Oryzias latipes: one gene and its partner. The protein of the gene in region 2 binds, or shares a complex with, the protein of the main gene of each other region. Links are inferred from orthologs where the notes say so. Each region holds a gene or a part of one and is shown on either strand. Other genes may lie near its edges.

Region 1 (16,161 bases), on a different chromosome or scaffold from region 2:
GCTGCTGCAGACTCCTCCAGGGACTCGGACACACTGTTGACTACACACACAGGAGGGCGTTCAGCCTCATCTGAAGGTCAACAAGAGTTTAACTTCAGATCAAAGACGGACATGAAAGCATCTTTCTAGATCCACACCAATGAAAAATGTATGTGTTCTCGTAGCATTTTTCTGATGGTAGAAATAAAGACAAGATTAAAACTGCATTTCTCAGTATTTCTGTAAATCGTTGTGAAACAGGCGCATATGAAAAAAAAATGCATGTGAAGCAGAAAATACGCTGGGCGGGGCCACAAGCTCCCAGCTCCGCCCCTTTCTGATGCATCCACTTTTTACAGTATTGCCACTGTTTTTGTTGCACCGCTAATGAGACTGGGGGTGTGAGGGGCTGTAAACAAAGAGCTCTCAGCCACAGACACAGGGAAGGGGGGGGTACAGGGTTGCTCCGCACCAACTTTCCCGCCCACAACTCCGCCCTGCAGAAACGATGTCCTAGAAAATCGATCTGAGTTTTTAGATTTTAGCTAAAAACTGCATGTTCCCGATGAAAAGACCACTTTGAAAACAGATCCAAGGATGATGGAAGACGACCAACTTAGGAAAAACTAAAATCCTGTGAATCCTCTAAACACTGGAGTCGCCGCCAGCGACATCAAGATAAGATGCTTTGCCATCGTTAGCATGAATCAGCTGATTCATGCTAACGATGGCGTTAACGGTAGTTGGAAGAACGTCAACACTGGCCCTACAGTTCTGGTGATCGGTAAGGATCCTGTAATTGACATGTGTTCGTGTGGTGGTGGTCAGTCACATGACCTCAGAACCGTCAGGCCCGTGACGGGGATGAAGTCATACATGCAGCATCTTTTCAGACAGCGGAGGCTTTTCCTACCTTTGTCTGTGGCTGTTTCCTGTGAGGGAGACTCTGAAGCAGGAGCAGCACAAACATCTTTACTTTCCTCACTGGATGCCTCTCCTTTAGGAGGACTCTGGAAACACAACAGCCATCATCACACGGGTTTCTTCTGAGGCAAAGCGCAGTTTTTCTGCGGAGCAACACTCACCAGAACCCGTTCAGACATATTCTGCCCAAACACAAACTTGGCTCCACTCTCTCCACTGTTTGAGGCATTTTTTGAACTGAAGTGGGAATGAAAACACGCCGGTTAGAGTTTCAAATAAAAGAATCATAAAAACAGTTAGACCTCCTCACCTTGGGGTGGAGATGTACTGTAAGAAATAATTTGTGCTCTCTGACTGACAGTCCGGTAGCAAACTATCCTTTGAGTTTTCTTCTGTGCTGCTGTTGTCCAACTGTTGGATGAAGAAGAAACATTAGGGATTTATTCACACAAACGGACACATTCATGTGTGTCATACATGCCAATATTCAGAGGGAAATCTAAAATAAACAACCCACACGCATGTATGTCAACATCAATGTGTCCCATAGGTTTACAGGTGAAAGACAAACAGCCCACCTTTGCTCTGTCTTTGATATTCTGACCAAACACAAACGATAGAGCTACAGATTTCTCGTTTTCTCTCCCGTCTTCATCTTTGCTGCCACTCTCTCCATCTTCCTGATTTTCAGGTTTCTAAAAACAGAAAAAGCATCAGGATTCATTTCTGTTCAGAGTCTCTTAAAACCAAACAGTCTCAGTTTTCATTTCAGAACCCAGTTCAAGTGCAGGTGTGGTTCTGCCAGAATGGACCCAATGGCAGTTCTTCTCAAATCTACCATCATTAACTCCATCCTGCTGTCACCCCAGAACCACAAAGCACTGGTTCCACAAACTCATCCTCCTCTCAGGATCTTCATCACAGTCAGAAAATGTACCAACATTTTTCAGAAATTATCCTTTTTTTTAAGACTACTGATGGTTTAGAAAGCAAACATTAGTCCTGAATGCTCCAATCATTTGGATGACAAGAAAAAGTCCAGATAAACAAACATCTGCCTCCTTGGACAGCTGCAAACACGCATTCGTCTTCATTTATTTCCTCAGTCTGTAGGATTCCTGGTTGATTCTTAAGTTATGCATGAATGATTTAGCGCTGAAACTGAAATTCATGATCACATGAAGGTCATGCTGTATGAAGCTAACATCTTAGATGCTCTACTTCCACAAAGACGCCAAGGTTTCCTGACTGTCTTCTTCTGATGGCCCCATCAGTCCAACAGGGCCTGACTTGGCTCAAGGACACTGGAGGAAATCAGCATGTTTTCATATAAATGAGCCCAATATAAAGCTAATAAAGATCGGAGCAGAAAACAGATTCTGTTCGACTCCACATTTAGGAACATTAGATGACAGAAAAGGGGTTTTAGCTCGTTAACACGAGTCCAGTGTTCCAGTATTTCCAGGTTTGTTATTGTGAGGAAAGAAGTCAGAACTGAACAGCATTTGCAAAAAACTGCAGTGAAAGTGGAGGAGTCCCACCAGCTGAGGAGTGAACCCCCTTAAGGAAGACGGCTCTGCAGGTTTTAGCTCTAAAGCCTTCCATGGATGACTCTATATTACTTTTTAAATCACGCTCTTCAGGCTGAATTCATGCTCAGCTGCCACCCTGGAGGCTGGAATTCAGGTCCAGGTGGACCAACCAGGAGGTGCAAGAAGGAGGAAACGAGGGCAAAGGCTAGAGAGAGGAGGATGCAGAGAGGGCGCCCCCTAAAGGGAGAAGCAGGAAGGGGAAAAAAACAAATTAAACCGTCTCCCCGTGGAGCGGTTTTATTTTCACTGAAACTTTACGTTTGTTTTTTTACAGGGCGCTGTGTTCTGCATCCTGATTGGCTTTAGACCTTGTCAATGGTCGTGTCTCCAGTGCAGAATGCGTCCACTTTGTTACATTTACAGACATTTTCCATCGGGATCAGATCTTTGTTTTCATTCTCTAATCCTGGACCTTTTTTTACTCTGTAGTTTGAGAGTTTAAATGAGAGAAAAGTGTGTAGATTTACAGCCTTAAAACATCTCTTCTTCACAGATTTCTCCTACTGCTGGTTCTTTTAGAACGTAACTCCCCCGATAATCTAATACTGTCATTCCAAATCTGTAAAAGTTACTTTTTGTTTCATGATTAAAGACATTTTGTAAAAACATAAACACGTCCTTCGTTCATGGTTATGGTGTCATCTGTTTCCGATGCATCGTAGCTGCTTTTCTCTTTTACGATTTTTCTGGGTGTGGTCAGAGCGAGCTTTGGACAACAGCGCCCCCCATTGAGCACCTGATTTGTGGGGGGGGTTAGTCAGCATTTATGCACATTTTAACAGAGACTGTCCCAGAGGAAGAGACCCAGACTAAACTGAACAGCAGTCATGTCTCACCAGTGACTTGGCCGATGGGGGTGAATGATCTTTGTTATTCAAGAAGAGCGACGGAGTCACAGACGCTCCATCTGATGTCTTTTTCACGCCATTGGTTCCACAACTGGAATCTAAAACCGTAGAAGGAATGTTAAAATGACCACCGTCGTTTTCACAGAGTCTGACCATCAATGAATGAAGTTTCTGCAGAGACTGAAATCCTTTAGCATGACTTTCTGCAACTTTGAGAACATCTTAACCATCTTTCACTACTTTTTAGAAAAGTTTCTGGTTTTTCCACTAAGAGACATTTTACTTATGACCTTTACAGATGTAGTAGATAGCCAAATACTTAGAAAATATTTGATTTAACACGGCACCAATCTATTCTTTACCGACACTTGAATAAAAACTTAATGAAACGTGACGATTTGGGGAAATATTTGAATGATTAAGTTAACGACAGGACATTTTTTAATAGAGCCTACATGAAATGTTCAGTAACCTGAAAGCCATTCATTAATAATTAGAAGATGTTTTTTTCTTGAGTCTTCACTCTTAAGCTGACTTCTAAAGCACTGTCATAACACGCGAGTGTCACAGGTCACAGGTTGTGAGGATAAACTCATTTTTAAATTCCTTGTATATTTTATTTGAACAAAAGGCCTGACTATCAGCGGTTATCATTAATTTATGAATAAGATTTTCTTTATCTACTACGGACAAGCTCTATATGCTGCACATTCTCAAACTCCCCTCAGAAATACAGTGCAGAGCTTCACCTGAACACTGAGTGTAGGCTAGAAGGGATTTTACTGTTTAATGCAGTCAAAGTGTAAAATGTACTCACTTGACTCTATATGTGATTTGGAGGGTGGAGCTTGGAGAACGGCGGGGCGGAGGACACTGCGTTGCTGTTCCTTGGGTTTCTGACTTGGGACGCCTATAACAGAGATTGGGATGTTTGGGATGTCTAAGTTCAATAAATACATAACCTAGCCCCTCCCCCTTTTTGCAGGATCTGTGTGACGTTTGTAAGTTGGAAGTCAAAGTACTTTCTATGCTAGTAAACACATGTAGAGCATGAGGTTACCTGAACTGGGGGCTTGTCCGTGTATTAGAGTCGGTGGCTTTAAGCGGAATCCCACAGGTTTCTCTTCTGGTGAGACAGCATGAGAGAAGAAAACAAATCAGGAGAAAAACTAGTGGAGAATAGCACAGTAACATATAATAGACATGTTCTTCCCCAACCACAGGTCCAGTTACCACAGCAACCTCAAGAGAGGCCGATGAGTTGTGTAGCAATCCAGTTCTTGTGCAATGGCATGGCAGCCTCTCTGGCGTCGGATCTATTTCTACTTTTGTCTTGCCAACTCTCTGGCTTTATTAGCTTGCATGACCTGCTCTAATCTGTGGCGAAGCAGAGAGCGCCACAGCAAAGGAAAAACAGTCAGGCCTGGTACAGGTCGGTGGTCAATAACGCTCCATCAGGTTAACGTGGAGTGTACATTCAGCTGGCAGGACACGGGCAGATAACGACCCCAAAGTGGTTTGTACTCAACACTTTTGTGGGAGCAACAAACATAATGTACTTTGCAAAACACAGAAATGTGGTAAATGCTGCGTTTCCCTTTTATGTGGTCACATTTGATCTGCCGCCGTCCAATAAATACCATCCTGCTGTTTATTCAGCTTTAAAAATTTGGCCTACATCCAACTCCCAAATGACCCGATTTTACTCCGGTTCCTCATCCTACCGGGCAGTTTGACGGTGCAAACACACAAATCCAACAACGTTTAGAAAGAAGCTCCCCAGAGCTGTAAAAAAAACGATTTACAGGAGGAATTGGTGCTGATCAGTGTGTCTGATCTGTTGATGTAAATCATTCAATCACGTGATCTTGTTGGTGTGTTTTTTCTCTGTACTTTTGTTTTTAAAGCAGTGAAATGTGACATGAATAATGTTGGATTTTACCAAAAGCACAGACTCTTCTGCAGGCAGACGTCTGTTCTGTTCATGCATGGAAAACCTCCTAAACTACAGTCTTGTTCTACAAATTACTCATCCTTAGGTTAAATATCAAGCCTGTTGGCTTTTAAATATTCTCTGTTCATATCAACTGGGGATGTAGGGAAAATCAATTTGGCGATATATTGCGATTTTTGTATCGATTTAAAATGCTGTCCAGACGACATTTATTTAATTATTGATGACCGTCCTTAAGCGTCTGGGATGGGTACCGAACCGAACCTCTGTGCCACGTTGTTGCCATATAAAAACGCAGGTTGTGGTGATTTTTAGAGGGCTCCAGATGAGAACAAGTCTCACATGTATCGCGATACGCATCGCCAGACTCGTCGATACCCACCCCTAATATCAACAAATGAATGAGTTGTCAAAAAGAATTACATTACATTTTCTCGCCTAACAGATTTTTTTTCTGTGTAATTTTATTTATTTATTTTTTCTGCGCCACGATTGGCTGTAGACCATGTCAATCAATCTCGGTGAGGTGTTTTCTGTTCAGAATCCGTGCAGTTTGCTGCATAAAAATAAATCTTCAATCATGATCACTTCTGTGTTTTTATTCTTTAAAACTGTTCGTATTCATCTGTGAAGGTTTGAACTTTGAGTTTAAACAAGAGAGAAATGTGTGAGAATGTCTGTCTGAGAAAAGTCTATAGTGTGTAGTGAGGAGTTTTACTGCCTTAAAACATATAGAATAATCCTACTTTGTGGATTTTGTTCATTACTGATTGCTGGACAATTTAAACATGTAGTTGTAGAGTTAGATAAGCTAATTCCACATGAAGGAGGATCCCTCCTTCATGTGGACACCCCTGAGGTTTCTCCTTTTTTCCAGAATCCGTTTATTTTTAGAAGTTTTTCTTTACAGAGAAGGAGGGTCTAAGGTCAGGGATGCTTAGTTTAGTTTATTTTAGTCCGTTTAGTTAGTTCAGTTTAGAAATTTCCTATACAAATCTATGCATTCATGATCCTTTTGGTTTTATGTTTACTTTCCAATTACCGGTACAAAGCCCATTGTTGTGATTTTGGGCCATAGAAATAAAATTGAATTGATTCGTTTTAGAACGCATCTGTAATGACAAACGAGGGAACTCCGCATCAGCATTACGTTACAATCATCCATCAGTAATGACATCAGATCCATTACTTAAGGAAATATTGACAGCTTTAAGGTAAAGAGAGCAGACATGCCAGCCTTTCACCAAACTCAACACAAACACTGCAGATAACCACGACTCTCAAAGCAGATATTGTTACATATTACACTTGAACCAAGAAAGTGTTACCATTACGTGGATATATAAGTGTTTTCTTAGGCTGGGCTATGCTAAAGAGTATTTATTCAGGAGAGAAGAGAAAAGTGGACCTTCTGAAGGCCTGCGTTTCTCACCTGGCTCAGAGTCTGAATTCCCAGTGGGCGACTGGCAGAAACTTGAGGGCATGAATACATTGTTCTTGGGAACTGCAAAGCAGCAGACACCGCCGTCAGCATACAAATCCATGCATAATGTGAAAACCAGAAAAAGAAAAGGCCATGCTTATTTACAAAATGTCCTTACCAGAATGTGGGGGCGGGAATGACGAGGTTCTTTCCCTTTTCACAGGAGGACAATAACTTCCCTCATCTTTATCTGAATCTGAAAGTTGTAGCCAGAAAAGGATCAGCAATCAAGTTATAGAGACACACAGTAAATGCAGACGTTTATTTGAGAAATCTTCTTAACCTTCTCCATCCTCTGCACTCGAGCCTTCTGCAGATCGCTGTCAAAGAGAGCAACAACATATTTAAATGGGTAAAAATAAATAGCAAACAAACCAGTAAGAGAAATCCACATTTTGTGTTTGTTCTTGAATCTTTATGGATTAAATAACTTTCATGATCATTTGGGTTTTATTTTGTTCAGATAGTTTTAACTCTATCACATGTGGTCCATCTGTATGTGCTCGTCCATCGGTGTGCATTGTTCCAAACAAAACAAAATCACAAAGAATAAAATATGACATCAACACATCCAACATAAAGAAACGTACCTTCTGAGCTTTATCTTTTTGGAAAACAAACACAGGAGGTGCAATGGCAGGCTTGTCTGTCAAGAAGAGAGGTAGGCTGGTCATCCAAGCACCAAGGACCTGAACCAGCCGCTGTGACTGAAATCTAACGTTTAAATTACCTACAATAAATTAAAAAGTGGTTCCCAGGCGACAGCCAGTGAACATTAAGATCAACCAATTGTTGACTCAACATTCATTACAAGATGAGCAGAATATTAATAAGCAGATATAAAGTCAGTCAGGAATTTCAGAAGTTTGGACCAAGAGAACAACAAATAGGAGGGTTTGTGAAGATGTTTGGAAAAATAACCACCAACATTTCATGACAAATACAGAAATAAACTCCCAGTTTGACTAAATGTAAGAACATTCAACCCTATGGGGGTCCAGATCATGAAGCTCGGGATGAAATATGGGAAAACAATTAAAAACAACCATCTTAATGTAAATGTGTATGACAGACGCAAACTTTGGGGGATTTTCGGAACACTTTCCTCACGTTCAGCGACACCAGACAAAGGTTTCCGTCCGAACCAGGCCCATTATACTCGGAGCAGGTGTAGCGTCCCCGCCGCGAGCTTTGTCCGGGAAAGCATGCGTGACAGGCCGCCTGGCTGTCCAGCGGGCTGCGCGGGACTGGGCATCCCGCACATTCATGACAGCCCCGCGGTTCATGACGTTAACGAGGAAACTGTTCTAAACCCAAAGCCTGCCAATGTGGGTCACACAAGTGTTGTAAATCCCCTTCCTAAACATTTACAGCTCATCGGGGAAAATACGATAACGAACGGCGGCGGCGTCTATTTTCCGTCATTCGTGAAGAAGACGCTGCCGGCGGATGCTAACAACTAGTACTTTTAACCATCTGACCCTTTCCAGCACATAGACGCCGCCACTGCTACAAAGCTGTGCATATGTAGTAGCTTACATGCTATGGTTAGCTTGCTAATTCGCTTCATCCTGCTTGAGTCATCTCTCCTTTACAACTCCCGCCACCAGAGCCGCTAAAACTGTAGACACACCGTAGACTCACGAAAACCACAAATGCATTTACGTGAAATTAACGGCCATTCTTCCGCAAACTGTTAACAACTCATAGCATAATGGGGGTGGGGGGGCTTTCTTACTCTACCCGCCTAAATAAGCGCTTCTCGATTCCGCAAATTGACCGATCAGCCAGACACAACGACGTCCTTCTGCGCGCTCTGTACCGGGCAGACCGGTGATGTCAGAACCTGTGCTTACGGTCACGTACTTAATGTGGAGGATCGTTTGGGACAAAGCATCCGGCAGGTTAGATACGCGGGTCCACAAATGCCAATAGAAAGTGGCTATTAATAGCCAAATGCTCGCAGTGGGGGGGTAAGCCGGCTAGTGACAAACAGCCAATCCAGGAATTAGCCTCAGCCCAGGCGTTAGCATTGTTAGCATGTTTGCTATCGTTTCGCTTTTCAAAACGTTCCTGGGCGACATTTCTCCGACGATCAACATTTGCGGGCGACAGAGCGCCTCCTCGCCGCTCGCCCTACTCGCGCAGCACCTGTGTGCAAACTGAAAATCCGCAGCGGAGGCGCGTTTTTTCCCCGTTTCTGCTACCTACTCACCTTCGTTTGCCAAGTCCGCCATTTTACTTCGACGCTCACACACCCACAACCCACCGCGCAGATAAGACGAGCCGCGCGGCGGAGCAGGGCCTCAGCCTGCAGCCGGCTCTCCGGGGCCTCTGACCGAGGGCCACACCGCAGGGGCCCTGCGAGAGGAAGACATGTCCCAGAAAGAACCGCAGGGCCAAAATGGAAAAGAAATGTCTGCGAGCTCAGTTAGACTATCAACTGTTGTAATTTTTCATATACTGTACCTCAACTTGTGTATTCTTGACAAGGTGCCTTTTTAATGTAGGGGTCTGTGAACTCCTTTTTATTGATTGGACCATGAGTCTGGAATAAATTATGTCTATCTATCCTAGAGCAGCAAATACAAAAAACATCAATGACCTACAAATACCAGCAGAGACTAAACACAACAATCCACTTTGTTTTGAACATTTCTGTTAATAAAGTTTTCTGAACCTGGTTTTTCAATTTGAGTTAAATTATCCAGACTTTTGGAGGGAGTTCCTGGTTCAGGTGTTTTGGTGTCTGTTCCTATTTGTAGTTGTTCATTTGAACCACATGAGGAACACGATGCTGCATTTGGGACTCCGTGCTGTTTCCTGTCTTTTTCTTTGTGTTTCATCATTCACACAGCATATACATGTGCAAAAAATATGACGGAAAATAAGATTTATTACAAGATATAATAATCTGAAAAACATTTACAGAAAAAAAGTACAAAGAAGCAAATCCAAAACTGTACAGAAGAAAAATGAAATAACATGGCAGCACTTCTGCAGTGAAGTTACTGAAACAGTTTGGATCTGACTGTGGTTCACTGAGGGGGGAGGACTCTATGAAAGACATTTTTAAAAAGCCCATAAAATGCTTTGATACACATTTCATATACCGTCTCCTTTCAGAAGAGTCTCTTTCCCTGATTGTGTAAATAACAGTGTGATTTCCTAAAGTTGTCATCGAGCTACAATGATGTTCAGTTCATCAGCATATGGAGTTTAGTAGATTTACACGAATGTTTCCCAGTTTTGATGTCAGATTCACCCAAATGTATTTCAAATCTGCATGACATACCTGTTTTATGCCACTAGAGGACAACCTCACTTTAGGTAGATCCAGGAGGGTTAAGTCCACGTGACCCCACTGCTGACCTAAAACCATTCATAAAAGTAGAGAATAAAACGTGAATTCATTGTTTTTACATAAATGTTTACATAGTACCTTTACTCAAAGCCCTCTGTTGTTTTGTGATACTTCCATTGAAACAGTGGTGTGGCTCATGTCTGAGCCTCTTTTCTCCACTTCTCACACGCTCTCATCTTTCTTTCTGTCAAAACACCTCCATCAGACATTAACAACACTCTAAAATCCTGCATAAATTAAGACAAAACAGTAAAAAGCAGAAGAAAAGCACTTCAGTCTGATGGCCGACTTCTGGTGAAGAAAAGGCTTGATGCAGAGTTTTTTGTGTTTGTCTGCACCAAAGCATGTTAACAGAAATGTCCTGACAGATGAATTCATGAAGTTCCCCAGGCTGCAGTCAGACAAGCTGCTGCATGTGTTTGTGATGTGTGCTGCAGAGCAAAGCTTGGCTTGTACTTCAGACCGTAACAGTTTCTCTTTTTCTGCCTTCCATTAGCGGAGCCACCGGCCTTTGACATCCTCGTTACATAACGTACACAGTCATTTTGGGGGCGAGCCAGGAGCATTAGCTCTCTAACCTTCCACCACTCGGAAAGCAGACATTCCAGCATGACATTCCCAGAAGCTCGGTGAACTCTGAGCTCCTCTTTCTGTTTCTCACAGTATTGAAACAGATACCTGAAGATGAAACTTATGGGGGGATTTCAGTGGAAACAAACAACACCCCCCCCCCCCCCCCCCCACTGTGTTTGATAGCATCTTTTCCTTGGGAATCAACAGAATCTTCCCGTTTGGTTCTGAGGTCTATGGAGAGGTCAGCTGCCAGACCGGACTCATCCCCGGTAACTACAGTCCACATGAAGGAGAAAGTTCAAAACCTACAGGAACACGCGTGAAGAACCGTCTTCCATCATCCCTCCAGGAGACGCTTCGTCCAGACCCCCGTGTGGCAGGACCCTCTCCTAACCTCGCCGTGTGTTTGTTCAGCTGTGTGGACATGTTGCTGTGTGATTAATGGACAGCCGGCCGGGGAGGGGCCCTCGCTCAGTATCTGTTCAAATAAGCTCCTGGCCCCCCAAACCCCCAGGAATAAGGGGATGTAGCAAATGGATCAGGGGCATTAATTGAATTTTGGAGGATATTGGACCTCAGGGATCTGTTGCACAATGCCGGATAAGTGGCTTAGTGGGGTGACTTCAGGTTTGACTTAAGGCCTGTAGTGTTAGAAAGGTAGTTCACCTTGATGCAGGTGAAGCTGCTCAGGAACAGATTATGTTCCTGAGATAAAACATTTTTTTTAAAGTGCTCTCACTAATTCATTCTGTTACACAATAAAAAGCCATCTGTGTGTCTGAGGATGTGCAGGACAGCAGAAAACAAAGACAAATCATGGGATTAAAAACAGGTGAATTAGGGTGAAATCATCTGGGATTTGTGTTTATTGATGTAAAAATATGGATTAGGAGGTCATAAAAAGGGTTTGTGACAAAGAAGCATGAATATTTTAGATGACATTTCCAAGCAACAAAAGAAAATTGTTCCCAGTGGCCTTTTAATTGTGATTCTGACGTTTTTAGCAAAAATTAAAAAAAAACTGTGTCGTTCTCTAGGACATAGTTTCTGCAGAGCGGCAGGAGTTTATTCAAATTCACCTCTGAGTTGTGGGCAGGACTGTTGGAGCGGAGTAAGCCTTCCCTGACTTCCCATCATCTCTTTGTTTACATGTTCTCCTGCTAGCTTACAGCCCCCCACACCCCCATCCTAACATCAGCGGTGCAACAAAAACAGCAGCAACATCAGATCCATCCGTCGATTCCAGCTCGGACCAGGAAAACAAAGACGTTCATGGATCTGTTGGTCTGCAGGTGGAGGATCAGAAAGGGGCGGGGCAGGGAGACTGTGGCTCCACCCACTGTATTTTCTACGTGACAAATAGGATATTTTTCAAACTGCATTTTTTCGTCTGCTCCAGATCCACAACGATTTGAATAAAGAAAAACTCAGAAATGCAGTTTATTATTCATAGTCTCTATATTCTTCCTCCGTCACCATAAACATGCTTCAAGAACATTTTCAAACACCAAAAACACAATTTTCATCTGAGTGGGGCTGTAAGGACGGATCTCCTCATTATTTTATGATGAAACAAAGTTTGCTGTGTCCGCATGGGAGTCTGCAAATCCTAATTTATTTACCCGTTATTTAACCAGGAAAGCATCTGAGATCTGCAGATCGGTTTTTGAAGGGAGTCCTGGCTAAGAGGCAGATTACAACACAACCTTTAAAACAATTCAAACAGATTCCAAATAACAACATGTTCTGGTTTCATTTTCAGCTTCTTCAGAACAGCATCAGGTAGAGAAGATAATGCAAACTCCTCTCAGAAATGACTCAGCCAGGATTTGAACCAGGGCCTCCTCGCTGAGGGTGATAACCACTCTACCACCATGCAGCCTCCCCAATGAGTCCCTGGTATATATATATATATATACATCTCTGTGTGGCCAAAGAAGGCCGTCCAGTTCATGAGTACAGGTCACAGTGATGAATCACCAATGTGATGAAAAGTAGCGCCTTCATTCAGTCTGCAGCTCTTTACTTGTTTAGTTTACTCCTTATTGTTCCAAAAACAGTCTGATGAATGGCTCCTTCTTTCAAACACTCATTAAACGATAAAACTCCACTTCATTCTGTCTGAAAGGAGCGCTGACGGCCACACAATGCATCTTCATGCGGCGGCGGACCATCAACTATTCTGACAAATGAAAGTGCGATTAATCCTTTGGGATTTTTTGGAAATGCAGGCCAAGAATGGGGATTTTCACCGATAGTTTTAATTTCTATTCGTCACAAGAAGATGCAGTTTGTCTTGCCAATAAATTTTCTATTTATTGTGGCTGTGGTTAAAGTCGCAAACAAAACAAGACCAGAGTTGTATGAAGCTGAAGCAATAGGTGAATAAATCATGTCAAACCCAGTCTGTCAGCCGTTTGTAATGCATTCCCACAATCCTCTGAGAGAACATGAACAGTGTTTTGAATTTGCAACCAGTTTGTCTCTGATCCGCGACGGCACTGAAAGCGAAAAAACTTTAACGTGCTGCTTCACTGCAACCTGGCAGATTGTGTTAACAAAAACACAAATGTGAGCCGCACTATCAAATGTCCTCGAAGAAGGTGAGATCCCAGGGAGCTGGAACTCCTCTAAAAACAACACATCACGCTGATGTCAGGACCAAACAGGAAGAACTGCATCTCCTGAATCTGGAAATGCAGCCTGTGTTGGGGGTTTGTCTTTAGCTGCTCCCTTTAGGAGGCACCGTCCACCTCCATCCTCCTCTGCATGCTCCTCACACATCCTCCTCTACATCCATGAACCTCCTCTTTCCTGGTAGCTTCAACCTCAACATCTTTTTACCAACATCATCCTCTTATCGTGTCCAAACATCTCCACCTGCTTCCCTGCATGGATCTCCAGAACATCTACCATGATCCTCTGATGGATTCAATGATCCATCCTGAGAGAACCTCAGCCTCTTCATCACTGCTACCTCCTGCTCAGCCTCCCGTTTTTACATCCGAGCCACTGGATGTTCCTCCACTGCTCTCACTACAGATCACGGTGTCATCTGCAAACTTAATGATCCACAGAGATTCCTGTCTAGGCTTATCTGTCGGTCTTTCCATCGCCACAGCAAACAAGAAGGAGCTCAAAGCTGGTTGTTGGTGTGGTCCCACCTCCACCTTCAACTGTCACAACATCTCACCGCTGTCTTCCAGCTCTCATTAATGTGCTGAACAACTTTAACGTTCTCTTCTGCTTCTCCAGACTTCCCCATCCAAACCACAGCTTGTCCCTGGATCCCGTTGTAGCTGTTCTCCAGATCTACAAAGACCCAATAAACTCCTTCTGACCTTCTCTGATCATCTCAAGAAAGATCTTCAAAACTAATCTGTGGTTCTCGTCCTCTGAATGTAACCATGTTGCTCACAAATGTTCAGTCATCTGAAAGAATCTCCCAAAGTCAGTTTCACCTCCACCCTAAAACTCTCATAGGACTCCACCTTTTGGTCCTCTGCTCTGCTCCCTTCATCTTCCTCACCATCAGAGTCATCCTCACACCTCCACCCTCTGCTGTCTGACCCTATCCATCCTCATCTTTACAACTGATTTCAATTCAGTTTTATTTACTGTACAGACCAAAAGTTTGGACACGCCTTCCCAAACTTTTGGTCTGTACTGCATATGACCCACTTTCACATCACAGTGGTCTCAACAGGCTTCACAAAATGTACAAAACCTAATATCAGTTCTGAAATACCACAGCTGATTGTTAAACTAAACTGGCGTCCCTGATCTTAGACCCTCCTTCTAGATATGGAAAAACTCCTAAAAGAACAGAAAAAACCTCAGGGGTATCCACATGAAGGAGGGATCCTCCCCCAGGACGGACAGGCCATGTACCAGAACTCATAGAGAGAATTGGCTTATCTAACTCTACAACTACATGTTTAAATAGTCCAGCAGAGGATCTTCATCCAGATGGAGTTGGGGTCTAGTTGACATTCTGAAATGTCTGCAAACATGGAACGATCTCATCTTCTCCTCACTCCTCTTTTTTCTTTCAAAGCTCTTCTTCCAAGTCCTTCAATCCCGTCTTCCATCTTCTGCACAAACACACCATCCTTCCATGACCTGCAGCTCCTCCTTTTCTGTTTGGTGACCCGTCTACCCGGTGAAGAAACCCCTTCACAGTGTTTGTGCAGCCGAAGCCTCAGAAACACTTTTCTGTGTTAAAAGTAGCACATTTCAATAGGCCTCCCTCAGAACATTCCAGAAGAAGTCATTTCTGAATAATAAATCCAAATTCTGTCACCTTTTTCCCGTCGAGCCGATGCCTGAAGCAGTTTGGCTCGGCTCCTGAAACGTTTGTCATCATTTAGAACAAAAGCTTGATTGTTAGTTATTTTTTCCAAGGAGCAGCAGCTCAATCTGCACAGCTTTTAGTTTTCTATCTGGTGACATAAATGACGATTGAGGGTGCAAAGCAAATGAAAAGTCACGGCTTCTGTGTGGATGATTTCCAGTTACAGCCTCTAAACGAAGCTCCATAAAGCCCAAAGATCTGACTTTATGGTCTCTTCAAATGATGATTGCGCAATTAAAAAATGAAAAGAGGCTTTCCTTTATCTGCAAGCTCTGCTGCAGCTTTTGTGTGTGAACATGCAGATGCAGCTGTTTTCATTCTGTTCACAGCGAGAAACTTTCAGAACACCAAGATCTCCGTGGAGTCGGCTGCAGACGCTGTAGATCCGTTCTGAGCTCAATCCAAACGTTGAAACGGAAAGGAAAGATGAGCCCAGGTGCAAAGGTGAGCCCGTTTATGGAAATATGAGCCTGCTGAGGTGCTGCCCTATATAAGAGCGAGCTGCCTGAAAGCTGCAGACACATGGACTGAGACACAGCCGTCTGCAGCACCAACTGGAGGTATGCTGCTCACTCCCTCACAGCTTGGAACCATAGAAATGGTTTTTTTGAATGCATGCTTACAGCATTATAAGGAAGGTTGGGTTTGGTTGAAAATGATAAAACATAACTTAGTTTGCATGTTCGTGAGTTTAGGAGCTGAGATTTTTCTGTTCCACAACACGGAAATGATTTTAATTGGATCTGCAACAACCGAATGTTTCCAGAAAAAGTTTTTGCTTTTCTGACTTAAGAAAAGATCGTTCTTTATTCGTCCCACAAAGAGGACATTTCAGTGTTGCAGCATTACAGACAGAAATAATGAAGTACAGATAAAATAAAGAGTGAATATATTGCAATATTTACAAAAACTTACAGAGAAAAAATGCAACAAAAATCTTATCAAGAAAGTTTTCAACAGCAAAATAATCTTAGTTTGAGAAAACATGTTTTACTGACAGGAATTGTTTTCCTAAGTTCTTGGAAAGAGCTTTTTTTTTTTGGTTCTTTAAAGAAAATCTTCCAGTGAGGTTTTCCTTTGTGTGGAATCA
Region 2 (16,120 bases):
TATATGACAGCAGCAACGACAGTCTCTTCTTCCCACCTGAACTTTGACCTCTTGGTGACTCAGTAGAGGTACCAGATGAGGGACAATGCCTGAGTCGATGACCATTTGGATCTGCTCATTTCCAGCATCAGTCAGGTAAGACAAAGCCCACACGGTGTCCACCAAGATCTAGAAGCGGTAAAGAAAAGAAATAAAGGAAACGTTTTTTAAAACCATGTTTAGGCAAATGCTGTCACCTCCAAACCAGTGAGGACAGAACAGCACAGCCTGTTATACTTACACTGACATCAGTGTGATGAATCAGCACACAGAGAGCTGGCAGGATCTGAGAAAATAAAAACACATTACAAAGTGTAGGGATGGATAAAGACAGTGAATAACAGATTATATTTAAAGTCCTCACATCTCCAGAAAAATCTATTCTTATCCTGTACTACGGCCTGCAGTTTCAACACCCTACTCATCCTTTAAACACCATTTTCTCTGCTTTCACTGGTTCAGACGGATGAGACATCAAAGCGTAATCCCTTTGCAACGCTCATTCTCAAATTCAGGACACAATCTAGAAGGGCTGGAATTGAGAGAAAAGAAGACTCCCACCTACAATTACCTTATGGCAAAGGAAGACCAAAAACAGCTGAATGTAGTTATTCATATTTCCTTTCTTCTTTTCAGTGATCAATTATGATTAAATGATGAAGATACAACTGAATTCTCTAATAATCCAGCCGTGAATAGGGAGTTAACATAGATAACGGTGTTCATTACAGAAGTAACCTTGAGGCATGTTCAAATAGGTTTGCAAGTCCAGATGTCTTTGGTCTTTTGCAGTATGATCTGATGATTCTACAGTTGATCATTTTAAAAAGACTTTTCTGCAGATATTCAGCTGCAGACAATCGTCGACAAGCCTGATTCAAACTACAGTGTAAAGGTTTAACCACAAGTTTACCGGAGCTTTTGTGCACTATGACAGCGCGTGTCATCTCTGTGAGGGAGGGGTTTGTTCGTCTACACATTTAATTCAATTCAATTTTATTTATATAGCCCAATATTACAACAATAGTCATCTCAATGGGCCTCATACCAGCAATTGTATAATAAACATGAATCATTAAGAACATAAAGTCATACAATTCAATAGGTAATGGCTAAACTAAACTAAACTGGGCATCCCTACACATAGACCTTCGCAGTAAGTAAAAACTAAACTGATTCCGAAAAAAAGAAAAAACCTCAGGGGAGCCCACATGAAGGAGGGATCCTCCCCCAGGATGTACAGGCGATGTACCAGAATTCCTAGAAAAGAATTAGCTTATCTAACGTTACAACTACATTTTAAGAGGTTTAAGATGCCCTCTGATGAAATTGTTGTGAATCAGAAGTAGCTTAAAAAAAGGCTTTTTGAAAAAGCATATTTGTGACTTAGAAAATATGCTGGACGGACCATTAAATCCCTGCTCTGCTCCATTCTGATGCCTCTGCTCCATTCTGATGCACTCATTTCTAGATGCATGTGTGTCAGTTTTCCTCGTCTGAGCTGACATCTGGCTCAAAACTGTACGGCTGGACGGCTCCAATATTACTCACCATTTTTATTGCAACACTAATATTAGGTTGGGGTTGTGAGGGGCTGTAAGCTAGCAGGAGAGCATGTAAACAAAGAGCTCTCAGCAACGGGTAGGGAAAGGGGGGTGGGGTTGCCCCCCCACAACAGTCCCACCCACAGCTAAGAGCCAAATTTCTAACTGCTGCTCTGGAGAAACTATGTCCTACAAAACAACACTGTGTTGTTGTTTTTTTCTAACAATGGCATCATAATAATTAAAATACCACTGGGAATGCTTTTACAATAGCTCAAACGATGATCGGAGAGGAACTTTACTGTTAGAACTACATTGTAATGGAACAGCTCAACATCTCATCACCTGTGAAGTGATATGGAGAAAAAAGGATGGCTTCTTCAACGCACAAACTGGTACAGCTAAAACCTGTCATTTTAATCTTACTCAACCATCTCCCTTTTTAAAAGAACAGATCTATTTCTAATTGTTGCGGTCTGTATGGGCTGTTAAAAAGAAACATGTTTTCAGCAATAGTTGGATATAAAAATTGCGACTCTAAAATAACACCATGACACACAGATCCCATTACGCTTCATCTCTTTGTGGGTGCTTACCTCCTGGATTGTTTCCATGGGTGGTGGAGGGTCCTTGTGACGGCAAAGGTTGACCATGACCCAGGTGACATTGCGGAGGAAGGTAATGGGGATGGAGGGGCTGATGAATGACAGCAGGGGCTTAACCACACCAAGGCTGATCACATAGTCTCGGCACTGAGGACCATCCCCTGCACAGAACGGGTTAACAAAGCATGGGAAATTTGGATTAAACACTCGTATTAGACACTCGTCAGATCAGATTAGGCGGTTACTCACCGATGATATTACCCAGGGCCCAGACAGCCTGTTCACAGACATTCTGGTGAGGAGAGTGGAGCAGCCTCAAGAACAGCGGAACAGCATCTGAACAAAACACCAGGAACGAAAATGTGAGCAAAGGCTCCAACAAATGTGCAACTCAAGAAGAGGCTCAAACTTTCTTATCAGAGCATCTACATCTCAAAAGAAGTGGTCATTCAACAAAAAACAGCTATTTATACTCAGCCTGTGTATCTACCAAGAAAATTCATTTTAAACAAACAAAAGATCTGACTAAACTAAATAAGTATTGCGTCTTTAAAAACAGTGGCACTTACTGGACTGAACCACAGCCTGGGTCTGCTCTGAGGTGCCAGATGCTATGTTGGTTAAAGCCCAGGCAGCTTCAAACTGGAGAGATGGACTAAAAAACACAAATAAGACACCAGGATTTATCAGAATTGTGACTGCACAAGTGAGTGGGAGAGGGCAGGGGTAAATTACAGTAAGAGCATGGCGATGAGTCACCATTACTGCAAGGTACTGAGGAGAAAAAAAGGCTTCATTTACATAACAGCAATATGATTAAAATGCAGAGTGGGCTAAACCTCACTTATTGGAATAACTTAATGCACCAAGCTAGACCATTAAAACATGTTACTTTGAATCAGCACAAATGCCTAAAAACAGTTATATTCTAATGCAAACAAACAGAACTACAGCTTGCTTACTTGTCATCTCTGTCCAGGCAGTGGACCAGTATAGGCAGGATCCCAGACTTAATGAGGTCATCTATGGGAGGATTACGGTCACTGGACAACAACTTCCTATAAAAAAAATTATAACATGAAATCAGCCTTAAAGGAAATTTGATTGTTCCAGACCAACTAATAATAAACTATGGACACAATGTAATGACACATATGTTAGTCCTAGCATCAGATATTGCCATCTGTCTCCACAGCTAAAACTCAAACCCAAGTATTAACTTTAAAAGTGACTACAAAGGATTCACAAATACACAGAACTGTTGAAGAATAAACATTGCTCATTATTTTTAAGTAGTTTTGCTGCACTACACAATTTCTAGAGGCTAGCATGACGCACTTGCATTAAATATAACGTCCATTAATCAAGAGGGTGACATGCTGTAAGTCAGGAAGAGAAAAATATTCTGCCTTGGAATTTCATCAGCAACATACTTTGGCAAAAGGAAATCAAGTGCAAGCAAAAGGCCCTCTGCATTGGTTTGCTACTGCAGAGGCTTGTAAACACATCTGTGAGCCACATGTAGGTTGTGGAAACAAAATGCCTTTTTCTACAGCAGAAATGCAGCATTAGGTGTATTACAGCATTGATGCAATGAAATATCAAGTCTTTAGGACAATGACGTATATTGCAACTATGGATGTTTTCAAATGAGTCCACCATTTGCTCCACAGAGCAAAAAATACTAAGACTTTTGTTTTGGTTAAAGTACAAACAAAAACTACAAACTAAAGTGTGTTTACCTAGCAGCCTGAACAGCACTCAGCTGGACACCCTGGTTGTCACTAGTGGCATTCTATATATCAAAGGAAACAAGATGATTAGTCAGTGAAACTGAATAAATACGTGCTTTATAAAACTGGTAATAAGGACAACAAAATTCCGTTAGCAAGACCATAAATTCCAAAGGAGAAATTAAATAGTGACTTACTTGTACTATTGCTTCAAGAGAGGTGTTTTGCTGCAAAAGAAAGTTTCCTGGAGTTATTGCATTTGAATTATGTTTCATATTTGGTGCATAAAGCTCTTAAAACACAGAAACCTTGCTCAAATAGTCTTATGATTCAAAAACAAACTAACCAGAGCAGAAAATGAGCTTGGTTACTTAACCCGAAAATGTGTTGAGAATCAGTCAGGAGGTTAAGACACGAGGCCAGTATTTAGCATGGCAATGTGCCTTCTGGCAACTTAACATGATAACTCCATAAGTAGTTCAGACTGTTTCTGAATAGGAACCTAATTGGGAGTTAGCCTGGCTGATGGCAGAGAAAAAGAAAAAAACCCACCAGATTCCTTCGATTTAGTCCAAATTGTCAACACTGAGGACAATTAGCAGTCGATTTGGAGATAAATAACAAAATAAAATAAAATTATTGGGTAAAAAGAAAGTTTATATTTGTGACTCCATTTGATGGTTGTGGGAAATTATTAAACTGCCAGTTGTATCTTTTATATCTATAATAAAACTGTGCTATATACCAGATATCATTATGTAGGTTTGAAAACGAGCACTCAAAATGGCCTGGTTGGAACTGGTGACGACAACAGAAGCTCCTCAGGCAAGAAAACAAATGAAATCCTTTACAGTTGGAATGTGTTTTTTTAAACAGTCAAACTCCGGTCTATTAAGCATTTACACTGAATCTTTTACAAACTGAATGGCCATTACAAATCACCAACACACACATTTGTATTTCACTGTTTGTGAATACTCATAAAAATAAATCGATTTCTTATAAGTATGCACACAAAGAATTGTAGAACTAGTTTAGCTGCCAAGTAACTCCAGATGCCATTCAGAGATCGTCTTGTCATTGCTGATGCACTATGATACAAGTATCACCCTGTGAATTGAGCTTTATACACCTGGCTGTTAAAAGGAACCAGATTTTTTTCTCTAGACTGAACACTTCAATGCATGTTTTATCCAACAGTCTAAATTTTCTGTCATCTGAATCCAGATCAAACACACTTAGTTCAGCTTTAAGACATTTTCTAGATTTTCATCTGTCACCCATCTATTGTCTTTATAGCGCCTCTAAAATATCTAGAAATGCTTCATTCTTTGTGCCTGTAAGTATCTTGAGCAACAACTGAAGCTTTTGTGCACATTGATCAAGAAAAATGAGTACATAGCAAGACAAACTGCACACTTTGAAACAATCTTGCCCCACCTAGTCAGTACAAAATAAAGCAGCATCCTAAATGCAAAAGTCTAAACCTAACCTGCTCAGCATCTGAAGACTTTCCAAAAATGTACAAAATCTCAGTACAAATTCAGTCTATACCATATCTGACAAGCTGTCATCCCTGTTGCTAATAGTAGTATTGCAATTCAAACATGCAATATATGGTTTTTCTGAATAATGGTGTAAAAAAGGAATATTTGAAAGATAAACTCACTGATCTGAAATCTCCATCAAGATCAGAGTCCTCACAGAGGTCCTCGTGGGGAACATTTCTCCTCTTCAGCAGATGCTCGTCCCTTTTGTTCTGTAATGAAAAAGTTAGTGAGCTCACTTCACTAATCATCCATTTATGTTACTGCAAAGTATATATAAAATATAGCTGAATATTCAATTCTGAGAGCATTCTGCAATATTAATTAAATAATGGCTTAAGTAAAGAGTTTATTTACCTTTCGAAGTTCCACGACAACCTCAGTCCTTTGTCTTCTCATCGTCTGCAAGGAAAATATTAAATTTAGTTAAATTAGGAAATTTCAACCTTCCAAACAAATTTAGAGAAATAAATGAGAATATCAGGGTACTGTGTATATTCGGGTATTGATGATGCAGGTCGTCTGGGCATTAAGTCTACAGCATCTATAAAGCAGAGGTCTGCAACTACAAATGAGTATCACAAGTCTGACTAAATGTAACTCAGCTTTAAGAACTACAGTACCTGACCGATACATCATTTTTACATTTTCAGGTTTCATTGTTCTTTTTTGACATATTTGTATCATATGCAAAAAGAAAAAAAAGTAAAATGGCAAAAATGGGAACTGCATTTTTAGGAAATGGTAGTATAGCAAGCTTTTTCAATAAAAAAGAAAAAGCAGGTTAATAGTTACAACAAAACAACATGACTGGAAGAAGACCTTAAGGATCACTTTTAGGGTTTTCCTATACAAGATTATTCATCTACCCATTACTTTATTCGATTTCTAGTCAAGCAAAACCTGTTGCAAATATTAAAACCATAGTTTGTTAGGATCCTCACTATGACCAGTTATGTCTCAATTGTGTCCACACAGTCAGTTGTTTTATTAGTGATAACACTGACCAAAAATAGTAAACATATTAATGTCATATGACAGAGATGACTTAAAATAGAACTATGAATGAGAGAAGTGATCTGGTAACCCACTAAAAACATCTTGAAAATCGCACGCACTTCCTCCCTCAGCTACCAGCTTAGTAATTACATCAAGCCAAATTTATTTCAGAAGCGGATATGTCTACAGGTTGCAGTGCATGATGTGACATTAGATGTGTTTCTATTCACGGTAAAGGTGCAGCTTTACTGTCCCACGTGGCCGCCGCCCTCTGAAACAATTCTACGTCAGATGCACACAGTGGAGGCAAAGTAAATGCAAATTGACAATGTTTGTTGACTCAATTCCTCGTGAACCTTTGCATGCATTAGAAGTTATTTACATTAAGTATTGAACCTTGGTGTTGATGCTTAAAGTTTATCATTGGAGAAACGAATTTCACGCGCGGTTCTCGAGTTGAAAGTCGAATAATTAACGTAACAATCATCGACGCCCCCCTCGCAACATATATGTACCTTCTCAAACAGGATGCGTGGTTTCCTGCGTCTGCAACCCCACCTGAAACCGATATCAATACTAGCTGGAATGCATTAACAGCTACGCGTTGACCTGACTGTAAATCACCTGGTAACTTATTGATCCGACATGATGAACCAACGTCCAGCTTTGATCTATGAATCATGTAGTAAACGTGTTAAGGGGAGACTGCTCTCCTGAGAATACGTCCTATTAACGCATAAAATAGAACTATATTACTATTGGTGTGGACTTGAGCCTAATATAAGTGGTCATGTTAGAAGCTTACTTGTTTCCGCCATTGTTTTTGATTATAAAGACGGGGGATGGGTGGAACTGCAGCCAACAGCACCGCCGCGCTAACCTAGCACGCAGTTGGGCTAACTGCAATGTTAGAAGTACGAACATCTGTCGTTGTTTTAGCTTAACTTAACACCACATTCTCAGAAGATAACGTAAAAGTACTTTGTAAATAATTGTATGCAAGCTGTTAACATTTCTGACCGAGCGAGACCGAACTGGGGGATGATATGCATCAGTGGAGTTAGCATGTTCCCGGAGGCCTTGCTAGCTGGTGGCTAGCAGAGCTGATCCAGCGGAGGCTTTTCTGACATGTTTTACACCCAACACGGTTTCGGGATAAAACGAAACCAGTTCGAAATTGACCCAACGATTCCAGCCTCCAATAAACACTGATTTCTGAAGGCCCTCGCCAGTTTCTGGCAGCAAAGTTGCCCGTGGTGTAAATTAGAAACGACGTCACAACGGAGCCGAGGGGCAAGGCTGAGCGCGGCGGCTGTGCAGACGAAAGCGAGGACACCGATCTTCGCAACTTTTACCTCCAAATCTCGGCCCTTGTTCTTGAAATTCTTTAGTCGCTGGTTGTCCAGTTTCTCGTTGTCGGCCATGTTAGTAGTTCTGATTACGTTAAATATTACTGGACAGAGTTTTAGCCGGTAAGCTATCTGTTTCTGGTTCCCTTTTCGCAGTCTTTCGTTAGTGGACTATTTTTTGCTGCTCGGTCCGCGGTGCATACTGGGAATGCCGGTGGTAGAGGGCAGCCTCGCTCTGGCGTAAGGGAAGGGTGGGGAAATCCCCCTCACTCTCATTGGTTTCACCGCTCACGTCTGTGTGCAGAAGACACCGCATTATACCGACTCACGTCTGCTCATGTTTAGGAAGGCAGACGTTTGATTCGTGATCACCTAAACTTAAATATGTCATTTCACTAAAACCCTATCCATGTCGCATCATTTCTTAAGGAGTTTTCATTAGGGAATTGTAAAATTCTAAATTCTTTTTATTATAATAAAATTATATATATATTAGATATATATATATTATATATTATACTATGTACTATTATACTATATTATATAATATATATATATATATATATATATATATATATATATATATATATATATATATATATATATATATATATATATATATATATATATATATATATATATAATGAATTAGTTTATGCTATTTCTCATAAGGCAGTCAAAATCTGAATAAAAAAAGGGAATAGGATTGCTCAATTTTGGCATAGTATTAAGAAGTAAGGCATTCTAGATCGGAGAACTGTCTTTTTTCTCTACAATACAATGCTAAAAATGTAATTCCCAGTTTCACACCATGTTGCCATTATATTCGATATTACAACTACAAAATTATCAGTAGTATCACGATTTTTATTGAATACCATTTTAAAAATAGAGCATCATGGAAAAGTCTATTCATTTGGATAATTAGATCTAAAAATTGAATATAGTGTACTGTTTAATTGATTTCTAATATTTATTTATTTTTACATAAATTTGGGTTCCACCTCATTAAAACCACGAAAACAAACTTTTAGTAAATCTGAATACTGTGGTGAAATCTGTCCAAATTCTGCGGGGCACGGATGTTTTAAACTATTTTAATCTGGACAATGTTTTCAATGGAATCATGGAAATGACTATACTTTTCCATAATATTTTATGAATATTTATATTTAACACCTTAAACCCAAAATCTTCATAAAAATTACATTTATTTGAAGTTCCAATATTAAAAAAAACATCAACATGAGAGATTTACTTTATTCATTTGGGAACTAATAAATCTGCTGTAACCTTTGTGCTATCTGAGTCACTTTAACATTGGGAGTTGGGTCATCTAGACCCCACAAGACAGTGCGCTGAACATTTTTTCTTCAATGATTTCACTGGTGTCCATGGATTACATGAAATCCTATTCACCTTAATCCACCTTTGTCATGGTAGGAAGAACACGTCAATGTAAGGATCGGGTCATCTGGACCCCACAGGAAAGCACAAGGGTTAAGTTCTCACTGATTTGGTACAAGTCATTAAATCAATATCATTTTGTTTCAGAAGACAAACACATTTTGAATAAAAATATATATATCATATATCTATCTATCTATATATATAGATAGATAGATATATAGATATCTATTTATATATCTATATATAAATGTATATCCTCAAAACCCAAAAGCTTTCCCTTAATGCTCTTGGTTTCTTATTTTCTTATTCCCAGCAGATCTTCTGCTTGTTCCATGATTTCTGGGAAGCCGCCCTTCTCCCTAACCTCTTTGAGCTCATAGATGCATCCGCTTTGCTGTCTGCAAATACGCAGCATAAGAAGACAAAAGTAAATCCAGCATGAACAAAAGAGATATCAGCTGCAACAAAAAAAGACTTTTTTTGCTGATGTGAACTTCAAGCCTTTTGCTTTCATCGTTAACTTGATGTGCTCTTGAGTCTGCCTCAGTGGAGTCTTCATCAAATACACCATTCTCCTGAAACCCTCCTCAAGCCCCATCCCAGTGACGGCTGAGCAGGGCTGAATGAACCACGCCCTTCCAGCACACACCCTTCTCAGGTCCAGTTTCAGGCTGAGGGCTTCTGGACTCCAGCAACCAGGGAGATCCTGTTTGTTGGCCAGAATTACAAGAGGAACTTCTTTAAGACTTTTGTGTCTCAGAACCTAAAAGGTAAAAAGAATAATAATAAAATTATTAAAATCAACAAAATCAAGATTTTTATTTTGTTCCCTTTTTTTGATGAATAGTTTGTAGATTTTTTTTTTTAACTTGTTTCGGAATAATTGTTTTTTAGTATTGCATTCACTGCTTCAGAAACAATAAAAATGCATATATACATAGGAACACTTGTATTTTTTTTCTGATCAAGGTTAGACATGAACTGAAATACCCGATGGAGTTCCTTGCAGGCCTCATCCTGCCTCTTCTCATCCCAGCTGTCCACCACAAACATCAAGCCAGCGGTGTCAGGATAGTAATGCTTCCAGTGGGGCCTCATCTTCCTCTGACCCCCAACATCCCACACTGTCAGTTCTGGACTGCTCCTGTCGGTTTCCAGGGTTTCCACATTAAAACCCACCGTCCGTACAGTTACCACGCTCTCGTTGTATTTCAGTTTGTAGAGCAGTGTTGTCTTCCCTGAGCCGTCCAGACCCAGCATCAAGACCTGCGCTTGTTTCTTGGGTTTGGATCCACGCGTACCCATGTTCCAGTGGAGCACAAGTTCCCTTTCAGAAAAGTTTCTTTATCCTCTTGAGTTTGTATGAAGGCTTGTGTGTCTGTGCTTTGTGAGCTTATATTGAGACTGGTGCCTTAAGAAGACCATGTGACCCCTCCCCTCTGTGACCAAATTCATGCTGTCACGGCTTTCAGGAAAGCTATTTTTACCCACAGTGACAGTGCATACATGCAGCTCACAACCAGAGAACAGAATGTAGAATCACGTCCCACGTGCCCAAAGTCCTCCAACACTGCCGCAAACAGGAAGTTCAGTTGAAACAATGGGAAGATCAAATTCCCTCCTGGCTGAATGTCTATCAGCACTAACCTCACAGCTTTGCTTCGGTGTCCCCAGCTGATGGAGAAAGGTGGTTTGATCCAAGGACTGGCACACTTTTATAGATGATAAATATTGGAAGAAAGTTGCACAATCAGTAAATCAACTATTAACATTCAATACATTATTTTACTTTTAGTTTGTACACGTAATTTGTGATGTGTTCAATTTTTGAAAACAATTCTGTAAGCTGATAAGAAATTTACTAGTGTACGAAGCAGCCTCCAAGAGAGAGGTGGCCACTTTGGTGACATGGTGTAAGGACAACAACCTCACCCTCAACACAGACAAGACATAGGAAATGATAGTGGACATGAGGAAGTAGAGGAACCCTCATCAGCTGCTGCTTATCCGGGGTCTGGAAGTGGAGAGGGTGAGCAGCTTTAAATACCTGGGGGTCCACCCCAGCCAGGACCTCACCTGGACAGTTAACACCACACAGCTGATGAAGAAAGCTCATAAGCGGCTGTACATCCTGAGGAGGCTAAGGAAGTTCGGCATGTCCACAAAGATCCTCAGCAACTTCTACAGTCCATCTTGACCAGCTGCATCACAGTGTGGTACGGCAGCTCTACTGCCATGGACTGCAAATGCCTGCAGAGAGTGGTAAAGACTGCGACTAAGATCACCAGGACGCCTTTGCCCTCGCTTCAGAGCATCTACAAACGCAGGATCCACAGGAGAACTTCCTCCATCATCAAGGACCCCACCCAACTGCAACGAGATCTGTGCACTCTCCTCCCCTCGGGACGGAGGTACACGAGTGTGAAGTGCAGGACTACAGGACTCAGGAACTCGTTCTTTCCCTCTGCCATCAGACTCCTTAACAGCTGACAGGAGTCTGGAACAACAAACAGCCCCTTTGCGCATACTCATTGTTTATTTTTTCAATTCTTACATCTTAATATTTAACAACATCCATGCGTACCACACTGTTTAGCTCATGAAAGTCTCTTTTGAACAGTTATTCTCAGCTGAATGTGCAAAACAGCTGATTTGTACACTGTACTGCATAGTTATATTTTATATCTGGTGTGAATGTTTCAGATATCCTGTAAATATCCTATCCTATCTTTTGTTTAACCTTTAACCTTATGGCATTCAGAGCGAACAGCAAAGAAAGGATCTCATTGTACAGGGAAATTCATTTCCTTACTGTACATATGACAATAAACCCCTTTGAATCCTTTGAATAACCCCCCCCCACACACACACATAACAGTTATTTTGTGGTCTTCAAATTTAAAATGTTCAATTTATTAAACTTTTAGCAGTGTATTAAAGTCATCAAAACAAATAACAAAGGCAAGAAACATTCAGTGAGGTACATCATGACATGATCCTGAAAAAAAAGCACAGACAGTTTCATCTGGAATTCATGTATTTACATCTCTGCAGTTAGCTTAGGATCAGGGACAGCTGTAATAACCTGCATGTTTGGGTGGAGCTGGTAGTCACGTGATGACGGTATTTACATTCATCTTTATGTTTCATACCTCATGAAACAGTCACTCAACACATAATATCTGAATGAAGGTACAAGATATGGGGCGTGCATCCTCCACTGCACTGCCCTGCACGATCAAATGCATTTCACCGAAAACTCACAAAATAGTTTTGGCAGAAAAAAAATTAAAAATAAGGCAACATCATGTAATTTCACCAGAATAAGACAAAATAAAACACAAATGCAGTTTTTAATGTACTGTAAAAATTAAAATGGATTGTTTTTGTCCAAAGAAAAATGTAATCAACCAGAATGGATCATTTCATTTAAGTAAATTAATTAGTAAATTAATTTAAAAAAGTTAGTTTGAAGAACTTCTAATGTTAAAAATATAAAACATATTTTATTTAAAAAATGCATAACAAAATTTTTAAAATGTTGTTCTGGGTGGTCACTTTCCTAGCCTTTAAACAAGTAATCTGTTAAAAAAAAAAGAAAATTATAAATTGTGTATTAAGTTTGTTTTTTAAATGACTACCTTATGACTTTCTTCATATTGGAAAATAATGTAATTTAAGCTTCTACAAACTACATACAGCAGGTTCTCAAACTCAATGTAATTTCATTGAAAGGCCACAACACTGCTTGAGTGATACAAAAACTAAAAAGGGGTGTTTTCTATATCATTTAACATAAAATACATCATTAAGATTTTAAAATGAAATAAATCCCTTTACGATTTAGGAAATGGTGCAAACTGACTCTTTCTTCCTAATGAGACACACGCCAGGACTTCCGCTTTTTTAATTGTAACAAGTTTAAAATACAAACATGTTTATTCAAACTAGTTTTATGCTACAAATCCAAGCAATTCCTTAATATATCTTAACGCTCTGCTCTTAATTACCGGTACGTACCTAGAATCAACCCCTACAAAAAAGGAGCATAACATCAAGGACTCTTAGATTTTGACATTGACATAAATTAGGTGAGTTGACCCAAACAAGAAAACCAGGACACGGAGTTTGAGACCCGTAAGCCTCAGTTATTAGATAAAACAATAAAACGTATAACAGAGGTCTTGAAAGAGTTTCTAGGTGAAGCAGCCTAGCTTTGAAAAACTAAAAAGTTTTAAATAAAGTGAGATTCGAAAGAAGAAATTATTAGCAGTCCTGTAAAAAAGCTCAAATTTAACAAAAAGAGAGAAACACCTGTTCTTACAATTAGATTTTCTTTATGCAAGTATTCTTGTATGAGCTCTCCAGAGAAACAAATCTCATATTTGCCGTTGATCACATAAGGCTAAATAATGACATGATTCACAATGTGGAAACAGAGTCGCCACTGCCTCTGACGAAAATGAATGATGGGATATTATAGTTGAAACCAGAAGTTTACATACACAACATAAAACCACACAACTGAACACACAACATGAAATAAAAGTAAACTTTTCCTGTTTTAGGTCAATTACAATTTGCTAAATGATAGAATAATGAGACTACGGTTTTCAAACTAATTTGTTTTACTTTGATCAAAGTCAAAAGTTGACATACATTCCATTAGTATTTGGTTCTATTGCCTTTAAACTGCAGTACTTTGGTCAAACATCTCAGATATTCTTCCACAAGCTTCTGACAAGATTTGGTAGGAATTGTGGCCCATTCCTCCAGACAGAACTGGTGTAACTGAGCTGAGTTTGTAGGTCACCTTGCATTTACACGCCTTTTCAGCCCTGACCATAAATGTTCAAAAGGGTTTAGATCCGGGCTCTGCGATGGCCACTCCAAAACATTGACTTTGTTATCTTTAAGCCACTTCGGGTCATTGTCCATTTGGAAGATCCATTTGCGCCCAAGCTTCAACTTTCTGGCTGATGTCTTCAGATGTTGCTTTCCACATAATTCTCTTTCCTCATGATGCCATCTATTTCGTGAAGTGCACCAGTCCCTCCAGCAGCAAAACAATCCCACAACATGATGCTACTACCACCCCCATGTTTTACAGTTGGGATGGGGTTGCGAGGCCTGCAGGCTTCCCCCTTTTTCCTTCAAACATAACGATGGTCATTGTGGCCAAACAGTTTCATTTTGGTATGGTCAGCCCACAGGAAATGTCTCCAAAAATTAAAGTCTTTAACCTTGCATATGTGAACTTTTGACTTTAATAAAAGTAATAAAAACTTTTCTAAAAAAAAGATATTCTCATAAATCTGACATTCAGCAAATAGAAATAACTTTTTTGCCCATTGTAATTGACCTTAAACAGGAAAGGTTTCCTTTTATTTAAAAAAAAAGCATGTGTGTTTTTATGCCATGTATGTAAACTTCTGGTTTCAACTGTACATGTACAAATTGACAGAAAAGGATTTAACAATGTAGCTTAAACCTCTCAGTCCCGGTTTGCTTTAGAGTGAAAGAATTGTGTACATTTATTTCTAAGAGAATACTGTCTTTATTTTACCTCCACTCGTTCCAGTGCACACTTACACAGTTAAAAGTGTAGTTGTTTGATGCACTCACAGGTTTGTGACACTTGTAGGGTAAAAGATTAGAAAGAGAAAAAGTGTTTTATGTGAGGTTTCAAGGGCTATCTGCAGTAAATACCTACGATATAAATAGTTCTTGTTCAAAAAGCAGCTTTAAATCTTCCACCGTAAATGAATTCAAACCATCATATATACATGCCGTGGGCGGGAGGAACTACTTTTTTTCACCACTTTTGCCTTTAAACTTCACCACCATTACGGTGATGTTGTCAGGGCAACCTCGATAGAAAGACTGGAGAACAATGCTCTTGGCGCCAAAGTGCGGCTCATCTAGTCTATCCTTGATGAAGCGAACTGCCTCCTCATTGCTGAAAGTATCCCAGAGGCCGTCTGATGCCAGGATCATGAACTGAGGCTGCAGCTTGTCCAGGTCAAAGGACATAACGTCTGGGTCAGAAACGACCACGTTCAGATTCTTCAGCGGGTAATCGCCCAGGGAACGAGACATAGCCAGGATGCCCTGGACGCGCCATGAGCCATTGAAACTGATGAATCCACCTGCAGAGGAAACAGAAAGACGGGATAAGAAACAGAAGGAGAGGAGTGAGTCTAAGATAGAGAGTAAATAATAATTTTCCTTCATTTTGAGACATAATGAAATAAAAATACAACATACGTCACAACAAAAACTATCAAATACAATCAGGCATCAATTAACCGGCTCCTATCTCAACAAGAACAAAAGATACATCTTTATAAAAAATGTCACGTATTATGACGTGTATTGCATATATAAAGTAAGTATTCATGAAAGGAACTTCACTATTTATGCAGAAATATAGCTTTTTTTCTTCTTTATCAAAACTATTTCACAAACATATTTATTTAAGTGATGTTTTACGAATTAAAAAAAAAAAAAATCGATGTTTCTGAAACACCAAACTCATATGAGCCTTTATGAACCAATGTTTTAAATGAAGTGAAAGAGTTGTTATGCGTTTCTGAATAAACTAATGGAATACACAGCAATAAATGGTAAATGGAAGAGGTGTTACTATTAATCATTTAATCGATTGGTTAATTAATTGATTTTTACCACTTTCATAAAAGACTCAAAGTGCTTTACAGTAAGTCCATACATTCTCACACTGGTGGCATCTCCACCGCCTTACACTGGTGCCAACCTATAATCACCAGGAGCAATGTGGGGTTTAGTGTCTTGCCCATGGACACTGACACATGGGTGGGCAGGACAGGAACTGAACCCGCAATCTTTCCGATCAGAGGTCGACCAAATCTACCT

What was found.
Region 1: the proteins of kpna4 (region 2) and ranbp3 are in contact, whole or in part, in a crystal structure (PDB 5XZX), measured with the Homo sapiens proteins. The link is inferred for Oryzias latipes from reciprocal best matches to the Homo sapiens genes KPNA4 and RANBP3. Residues at the interface, in NP_002259.1 of Homo sapiens: Arg96, Leu99, Ser100, Asp102, Arg103, Pro105, Phe133, Trp137, Thr140, Asn141, Ala143, Ser144, Gly145, Thr146, Ser147, Thr150, Glu175, Gln176, Trp179, Gly182, Asn183, Gly186, Asp187, Asn219, Trp222, Val225, Asn226, Arg229, Asp261, Trp264; in NP_015561.1 of Homo sapiens: Asn114, Tyr115, Cys116, Pro117, Pro118, Val119, Lys120, Arg121, Glu122, Arg123, Thr124, Ser125, Leu127.

Annotation. Positions count from the first base shown.
Region 1 is NC_019875.2:30,536,132-30,552,292, reverse strand, and holds the start of ranbp3 (ran-binding protein 3), read right to left. Parts: upstream 8,937-16,161; 5' UTR 8,678-8,936; coding exon 8,647-8,677; intron 8,587-8,646; exon of another isoform or gene 8,351-8,586; coding exon of another isoform or gene 8,320-8,350; intron 7,427-8,319; coding exon 7,371-7,426; intron 7,101-7,370; coding exon 7,064-7,100; intron 6,977-7,063; coding exon 6,899-6,976; intron 6,802-6,898; coding exon 6,730-6,801; intron 4,470-6,729; coding exon 4,404-4,469; intron 4,254-4,403; coding exon 4,161-4,253; intron 3,442-4,160; coding exon 3,332-3,441; intron 1,599-3,331; coding exon 1,482-1,598; intron 1,315-1,481; coding exon 1,214-1,314; intron 1,141-1,213; coding exon 1,065-1,140; intron 990-1,064; coding exon 893-989; intron 71-892; coding exon 1-70. UniProt on the Homo sapiens protein: Acts as a cofactor for XPO1/CRM1-mediated nuclear export, perhaps as export complex scaffolding protein. Bound to XPO1/CRM1, stabilizes the XPO1/CRM1-cargo interaction. In the absence of Ran-bound GTP prevents binding of XPO1/CRM1 to the nuclear pore complex.
Region 2 is NC_019871.2:13,517,299-13,533,418, forward strand, and holds the start of kpna4 (importin subunit alpha-3), read right to left. Parts: upstream 8,054-16,120; 5' UTR 7,892-8,053; coding exon 7,823-7,891; intron 5,871-7,822; coding exon 5,826-5,870; intron 5,681-5,825; coding exon 5,591-5,680; intron 4,149-5,590; coding exon 4,119-4,148; intron 3,984-4,118; coding exon 3,931-3,983; intron 3,247-3,930; coding exon 3,151-3,246; intron 2,844-3,150; coding exon 2,758-2,843; intron 2,525-2,757; coding exon 2,438-2,524; intron 2,350-2,437; coding exon 2,180-2,349; intron 326-2,179; coding exon 281-325; intron 169-280; coding exon 37-168; intron 1-36. Other genes in the region: arl14 (ADP-ribosylation factor-like protein 14), read right to left, coding at 9,681-9,989, 10,217-10,531; ppm1l (protein phosphatase 1L), read right to left, coding at 15,032-15,375. UniProt on the Homo sapiens protein: Functions in nuclear protein import as an adapter protein for nuclear receptor KPNB1. Binds specifically and directly to substrates containing either a simple or bipartite NLS motif.